Linked DNA regions of Callithrix jacchus. The protein of the gene in region 2 interacts with the protein of the main gene of each other region in a pairwise test. Links are inferred from orthologs where the notes say so. Each region holds a gene or a part of one and is shown on either strand. Other genes may lie near its edges.

What was found.
Region 1: the proteins of EXOC1 (region 2) and RESF1 interact in a two-hybrid assay, tested with the Homo sapiens proteins (2 studies listed by BioGRID and IntAct). The link is inferred for Callithrix jacchus from reciprocal best matches to the Homo sapiens genes EXOC1 and RESF1.

The regions. Positions count from the first base shown.
Region 1 is NC_133510.1:39,568,018-39,572,038, forward strand, and holds the start of RESF1 (retroelement silencing factor 1), read right to left. Parts: upstream 2,811-4,021; 5' UTR 2,735-2,810; intron 1,462-2,734; exon of another isoform or gene 1,363-1,461; intron 1-1,362. UniProt on the Homo sapiens protein: Plays a role in the regulation of imprinted gene expression, regulates repressive epigenetic modifications associated with SETDB1.
Region 2 is NC_133504.1:140,906,476-140,910,616, forward strand, and holds the start of EXOC1 (exocyst complex component 1), read right to left. Parts: upstream 2,808-4,141; 5' UTR 2,688-2,807; exon of another isoform or gene 2,528-2,687; intron 1-2,527.

The sequences.
Region 1 (4,021 bases), on a different chromosome or scaffold from region 2:
AAATCAATTCCCTAAGCATTCGAGCTCCAACTATGTCCAAAACACTGATCATCTAGAAATGAAGAGAGATTCCAGTACAATCACAGAGATAATGTTTAAGAATGAAGCTTCGGGCCAAGTTTGCCCTGCCTAGGAATTCAGTGGACGCATTTTTTTTTTTTTGAGACAGAGTTTCGCTGTTATCCAGACTGGAGTGCAATGGCGCGATCTTGGCTCACCGCAACCTCCGCCTCCTGGGTTCAAGCAATTCTCCTGCCTCAGCCTCCTGAGTAGCTGGGACTACAGGTGTGTGCCACCATGCCCAGCTAATTTTTGTGTTTTTAGTAGAGACAGGGTTTCACCATGTTGACCAGGATGGTCTCGATCCCTTGACCTCGTGATCCACCCGCCTCGGCCTCCCAAAGTGCTGGGATTATAGGCATGAGCCACCTATGCCCAGCCATGGAGGCATTTTTTATTTCAAACAAGCCTGCATGTAAATCCAGAAGTGGACCAGTAGTGACAGTACTTCCTAAAAAAACAGGACCTACAAAAAAGAGAATCTAAGAGGATCTACACTGATGGGCTTAATAACAGAAAGCTCACGAATTTAGGGCTTAAATGAACCAACTGAATGTGTGCTAAGCCAGTGTTACATGTCCCAGGCCACAAAACCTATTTCCTCTCACATGACAATAGCTAACATTTATTGGGCACTTAACATGTGTCAGAAGCTGTTTAAGTGTGATATGCATGAAACTCATGTAACTCTACCACAATAATCCCATGACAGGAGTGCTTGCCCCCATTTTATAGATGAGAAAACAAACGTTTATTTTCCCAAGATTGTACAGATACTGGGCGCTGAGTGCTAGAGCCAAGATCTGAACCAAAGCAGTGTTACAGGGACCATGGTCTTAAGTCATGAGGTGAGACTTCCTAACACATTTTGTGGTTACAGGATGAAAGCCCGGAACATGACCACTTTGGCTGTACCGAAGCATCCTTCCAGAGTGGTGCTCTGAGCCACATTCCCCTATGTGCCACAAACAGTAATAAATAAGAACAATCAAATTAAGAAACACAGCACAAACAGAAGCAGACCTCTGCCCGGGTAACCTCCACCACAGCTAACCTTACCACAGACCTCTTCCTTATTTTGCTAAGATTAACAACTGATTTCTCAGCACCATGCCAACAACATAATTTCTTCAAGCTTTGTCGTCAAATCCACTGCGTCCCACAGTTTAATTTTTAACCAATGTGGATTCACCGATAGTAATTTTGTTCCATAAAATTTTATCCCATAAAACTACTCCACAGTTAAGTGTGAGTAACTGCCTGGTTAAATCGGGGTGGGTTTCTTAGAGGTGACATACTTACCCTTAAGCACAACTTTGCTCTTTAATTATTGTGTATGCTCGTTCCCATTTCCCGCCAAACATGTCAGTCTCCCTCCACCCTGTATTTACTTCTTTGGTCCTAGGGACATCAAGAAACGTTTTATAATTAAGAGTATATGCTAATGTGTTTACTGATATGACATTGCTGTGCAAAACTTTCCTTTAAGGCTGCACTGAAAGCATGCTAAGTTTACTGAATTCTTATTTTTATTTTATTAATTTATTTATTTATCTTTTTTTGAGCTGAATTCTTATTAGTTCTGGCCTGAAAATACCGTTCACTTAAGATAGAATTTATGTGCGCTCCTCTAGGTCCGCTATCGTATTATCGCTTCAAAACAACACTTTCTCTCTGCAGTTGTCTTTATTGGATTTGGTATTAAACAGAAAAAATCAGACTGCACAGAGGGGAAAAAAACTAAAACCTTAACATACATGACAGTGAAACATGATTAAAGCTAACACATTTAGCAGAAAAAGACAATCCCCAAACAAGCTCTGAAACCCGCCTTGAAATGCACCCGACTCCCCTCCCCGCAAAATGAAAATGCGCCTCAAGCTCATACACATCCCTGTCTTAAGACGGTCTGCACTCGATGTACTACAAATAAAACTGTTTTCACGGAAATGATTCCCCGAAAGTTTGCTGCCAAACTCAGGACCCTAAGGATGTTCGCTTAGGGAATCCGTATCCCTCGAGAACACCTAAGATGGTATGCATTTGTGCATTTAAAAATGCCCGAAGGAACTCTTGCTGAGGAACAGAAAGCATCTCCGGCACAGAAGCGTTCGCGGACCACTTGGAGATGCGAGTAGAGCAATTCCGTGCCAGGAGGCCTCGGGTTAAGAGGGTCGGGGAGGAGAACGCTCGGAAATAGCAAAACAAATATTTTCTTTTTCACTCCAGCGACAGGAAAGCCTTAAAAACATAAGCAGCTCTCACACCCACCCGCCTAGCCAACCGCTTCTCAGTTCAACAAAACGCGTCTTCGCCCTCGCCACTCGCGACCTCTACCGCGCAGAGCCAGGCAATGAGGGAAAACAGCCAGCGAGGCCCGCCCTCCGGTGCAAGGCTCGGCGTCCGCGGAGGCCCAAGGCTGGCCCCGGCGCGGCGGGCAGAAGCGAGCGCGGCGGCCCGGCCCAGCTCCGGGCTGCGGACCGCCGGGCACGCGAGCCGGTGGGGCCAGAGGCCCGGCTTCCGGGGCCGCCCGCGACTGCGTCCTCGCAGCAGAACAAAAGCGCTCTGCGCCGCGGGCCGGCCCCAGCCGCGAGCGCCTCGGGCTCCCGGCCCCCGCCCCACCCGGGTCCCAGAAGGCGAAGAGGGGACCTCGGGGTGCTCGCCTCACACTTACCAACCAGGGAAGAGGACCACCCCGCCAAGCAGGGAGAAAACCGACAGCCTCCCGGGCCCCAGAGTTTAAGTCAAGTGGGGTCCGCCTCCAGGGGCGGGTCGAGGAGCCAGGCCCGGGATCCAGGAACAGCTGGGCTCCGCCTCGTGCCGGAGGCGGTGGCTGCGAGGGCCGGGCTGCCGCGGTCCTAGTGCCACCCAGAGGAGCGGCGGCCCGGCCTGCAGATAGCACCGGAGCTTGCAGAGCGCTTTTACCTGCTCGGCGCGGTAATCTCGCGCAGAGATCTATCTTTCACGCGCACCCGAATCACCCAGAGGGCATGTTAAAGAGGGATTGAGAAGCACCTGCAAAACTGCTGACTCAGTAGATTTGGGGTGGGGCTGAACATTTGCATTTCTAACAAGTTCCTGAGACGTACTGTGGCTGCTGGCCTCAGGAGAATTTTTTCTGTAAAGCGCATGGAAGAAAGTCGGCGTGCACTCAAAAGATTGTCAACCCTTAATAAAAAGAAAAAGAAAAAAAGGAGGAATCAACAGGTCAGAGGCAAATAAGTGTGAAAGAAAGTGGATAGTCTATTTGGGGATTCTGGGAGTCCCTGAGGAAGGCTGACTTTGGAGACCGGATCACGAAGCACGACCTCTTAATTGCCGACCTTTTGTTATGGATTAACTCCCTTACTTTCTTGTTCCCAGCTCAGACCAGATGGCATTTGAGATAAAATTCGCCTTGAAAAGGATAAACCACCCCTTGACTATTACATCCTTAATGTGGAATGTTAAATAGACCCTTCCCAAAAAGAAACACTGCCTAAAACCAATCAAATTGCTCTAACTATGCGTTAATCTATGGAAAATGTTGACATCCTATTAAGCTTCCCAGACCTTGCCTATATAAACGACCCTCAAACTTCTCCATTTCGAAGCACTGACCTCCATCTTTTGGAGTCTGCGTCCTACCAGGTCGCCATCCTCAATCTTTGCACCCAAATAACCCAATGTTTATTCATACTGCTCGAATCTCATCATTAAGGTTTACATAAGCGTTTATTCAGCAATGAAGGTTGCAGCCAGGATAACAAATCAGAGATTGTGCCACCGCAGAGGGGCAGGGGAGCTTATGTTTATAGGAATTTATTTGTTACATAAATTGTCAGATTATTTCATTGGTAGATTAAACAAAGATGTCTTTAATCATTAGAAGGGTGCATTTGCATCTGTCAGAAACAAAACAAACTATATACAGAATTTTTTTTTTTTTTTTGAGGTGGAGTCTCGCACCGTCGCCCAGGCT
Region 2 (4,141 bases):
CTTCACTTCTCTTGGATTACCAGACGCCACTTTAAAAAGCCACATATTCGCCTGGCGCAGTGGCTCACGTCTGTAATCCCAGCACTTTGGGAGGCCAAGGTGGGTGGGTCACCTGAGGTTGGGAGTTCGAGACCAGCCTGACCAACATGGAGAAACCCCTTCTCTATTAAAAATACAAAATTAGCCAGGCGTGGTGGCTCGCGCTGAGGCAGAAGCATCAGCCTCCTGAGAGGCGGAGGTTGCAGTGACCCGAGATCGCACCATTGCACTACAGCCGGTGCAACAAGAGCAAAACTCCTACTTTAAAAAAAAAAAAAAAAAAAAGCCACATATCCATGCTCATTTCATGCAGTACAAATACCTACATCTGGTGAAAGCTAGACTTTCCGTGCTGCTCAGCAATTAATCTTTCATTTGATGAATCCTTTCCTATTCCCCAGGACTATTGTTGCAAATCCCTATTATTCTTCTTCAGTTCCCAACTCTAGCATTAGCCTCCTTCCTCTCTGCAAATGACTTAATAACCTACCTTGCAGAGAATATAGAAACACAATTATCCCCAACTGCTTTCTTCTCCATCTCTCTACACCTTCACCCATCCTAACCTCCTTTTGGTCTGTTATAGTGTGTCCATGCAGCTAATCCCTTAATATATTGTAGGGCCTAGATACTCTGTTTCTTCCTAAGCCCAAGCCCCATTGTACACTGGCCAGTTTACTTTTCTATCTCTGGGCTTTTGCTCATGCAATTTTCTTTTCTTAGAATTCTCTTCTCCCTGGGAAATTAAAATTCATCCCTCAAGAATGTGCTAAAATGTCATCTCTTTTGTAAAGTAGCCCCTCCCTGCCACCTCCCCACGCAGAGAATATTTTCTACTTCTCTAACATTTCCCATCATAAATAAAACAGCATTTATGAATTGTATTTTCTAGTTAGTTGTATTTTATCCCCTACTCAAAGCAGTACCATGTCGTAATCATCTTTGCATTCCTAGATCTTGGCAAATTAGGCATTTGGTAAATGTTTAAATTAACTGACATGACAGCTATAGATCCTCCAAGATTCCCCCTTTCCAACTTTCACACCTATAAGCAAATGTCCAGGTTCAAAATCCACCATATTTGATTCCCTCTTCTGTTGTCAAGATGAAATCTGATATCACACTCTGATTTTCCCCCATCTACATGTAATTTATTCCTTTCTTTTCCCACTGTAAATATACCAACTCAGGTTCCTATCAATTTTATTTAACCCTACAAAATCTGGTTATCTCTCTGCATGGCCCCACAACCCTAAACAACAACAAAATAATCTTAAAGACAGTTTGTATTACATCATGCTCTTACTCAACATTTTCCTAATGTTCTCAAAAACAAACCTTCCACCCCAAGCACTCTGTTCATTTTGGATGTCAAATCTTCACTTTGGTGCTTTCCATGTAAGGAATATCCTCTCCACCCTATCCAAACCCTAATTACACTCCATGGTTTACATGAAGTTGATTCAATAATCCAAATTGATCTCTCCTCTAAATTTCTACAGCACTTACTGCATTTGCTAAACAAATCAAGCATTTGCTGTCTAATGGGCTCATTAAATCATAAGCCTCTGTATCTCAAGAATTCTCTTAAAGAGAAAGAAGGGAGGAATGTTCATGATAGTTTTGTGTTTAGTGGATACTTATATCTCTTAAGGGAATTAGAACTGAATAGTAAAAACTAGTCAAATGAATGACTAATACGGACCAACGTTTACCCATATTCCTGCTCTGGCTAAAAGCAACAACTGAATTGTACAGTGAGTGGCGAAACAAGAGAGGACAGAGCATACCTCATAAAGAAGTTAGGCATAATGAAAAGCAGTATGTGACTCTTCATTCAGCAAATACTGATGCTTAGTAGATGCTAGACACTACTCTGGGTTACAGTGGTCAACATGACAGACATGTTCATAAAGACCTGAGGCCGCGTGCTTCTATGGCATTTACATTCTGCAAGTCGAGTGATTAACTTCGGTCTTTTCAGTACTTTTCAGCAAGTCTGTAAATAAATCCCTAGAAGTCCTCTAAAATTATTTTCCAGGTCTGAGAACCCATGTGTGACCACGTTCCAAAGGCAGCCGGCCACTGTTTACTCTGTACTGGTTGTTTCCTTAAACTCAGTTGGACCACCACACTGTGGTCAGTGTGAGTGCCCGTGTGCACTGGGTCCTGTATGCTGCTGAGACATATTAGTGCATGAAGTATTGTAATCTAGAAGATAAAACTGTGCATGAAAATAGGGTAATGCACTTAAGAGATGTGGGGGGCGGGGAGAAATGTGGATTTGGACAAAGGGGAAGGCACTGTCACGCTCTCCTCTCCTGGCACGCCAAAGAGCGTACGATCAGGGCCATTTTGCACAAACAAAATCTGGATCCGATAGGCGGAACCGTAATGGGGCCCATGAAGACTGCCCTCCCAGCTCCGCATTCTCCCAGACCCGAGGACAAGGGGCTGGAGAATGCTCTGACCAGACTTTGCGTCTTACCGGGACAAACGGGGAAAGGAAGGTCAGAGGGAGCGGTGTCAGACCCCGGGCGTGGAGACAGCAGCGGGACTGAGGAGCCGCCTTAGACCCTGGTGCCTGTCTGTCAGCTCGTCTGTCCGCCGCCGCCGGAACTACCGAGCAGCTGTGGCCGAAGGCTTACCGCAAGGCCGAACTGAGCCCGGCTCTGCCGAGGCGGGTCTTTCAAAACGGAGACCGGATGGGGGCCACGAGGATGTTCCCCTAAATAAAGCCTTGAACGGGAAGTGGCCGTTCCCCCAACACTTCCTATATCCGTGCACGTGACAAACTCCGCGCCGGAAGCTGACCCCGTAGAGAAGGAAAAAGATGCGAATGGGGGGGGGAAAAGGAGTGGCCAATAGACGCGGAGGGGCGGGGCGCCAGCCGACGGGCGTGGCCAGGCTGAGCAAGGCCTCACTGGAGGGGCTAGTTAGGGAAAGGCAGGGGCGGGGCCTTTTGGCACAGAAACTGACTTGGGAGTTGGGGATTTTATGCTGTGTAGTATTTATTCTCTCTAAAAGTGTTATTTATTCAGATATTTGCAGCAATTCACTTAAGAAGAAATTCGATTAAATGTTTTCCTTTTTTCATATGTAAAGCTCTATTAACTCTAGATCTTTGCTACTTAAACTTTGGAGAGCTTAAATGAGTTAAATCAGATTCTCTGCGGGTGGGATCCAGACATCAGTACTTTTAATATGGTCCCAGATGATTCTCATATACAGCTATGGTCAAGAACCACTGTTCCCATGACCTTGATACTCAAAGTGTGGTCCGTGGAGTAGCTACTTGGGCATAATCTGGGGTCTTTTAGGAAATGCAGCCTCTCTGGATCACACCAGATCTACTGAATCAGAATCTGCATCTTAACAAGATAATACTTATGCAGATTTAAGTTTGGGAGGCATAAATGATGCCAATGTTGCTGGTTGCGAGGTAGGTGTCTTATTTATTCCGTATTCCTGGCACCTTTTTCTGCACTAGACACTTTGATTCCAGGTACAGAGGTGATTCAGGCATAAATCTTACCCTAAAGGAGTTCCCAGTGTGGTAGGACTAGACAAGGTGTAGATACAAATATATATAAAATAGGACACAAAATAAGTGACCAAAGAGATACAGATCAGATAAGTGAGCTAGAAATTCAAAGGAGCAATTTCTTTGCTCCTGCTCAACACAGTCCTTTGCAAGGGGATGCAGGAATACATTCATGCATGCCATTCATTTGACAAATAACCAGAGCCACCTCTAAGCCAGGCATTGTGTTAGGTGTTCGAGATACAAAACAGGGGTCCCACTTAGAAGAAGGACATACTCAGTGGGGAGAGAGAACTAAATAAGTGCATAAATTACAGTCTAGTGAGGTAAACTCAACAACAGTGGTAGAAAAAAAAGAGACTGACTACCATGGGAATGCAAAAGAGGGAGTAATAATTCTTCCAGAGATGGATTCATAGAGCAAGTGACAAATGAACTGTGCAAAATATCTTTCAGTATTTATTTGAAGACATAATTTGGTGGAAAAAATAGCAGCAATAGCAGGGAACTGTTTGTTACTCAGATTAATATATTGTAGTCAACAGTACTTAAAATACC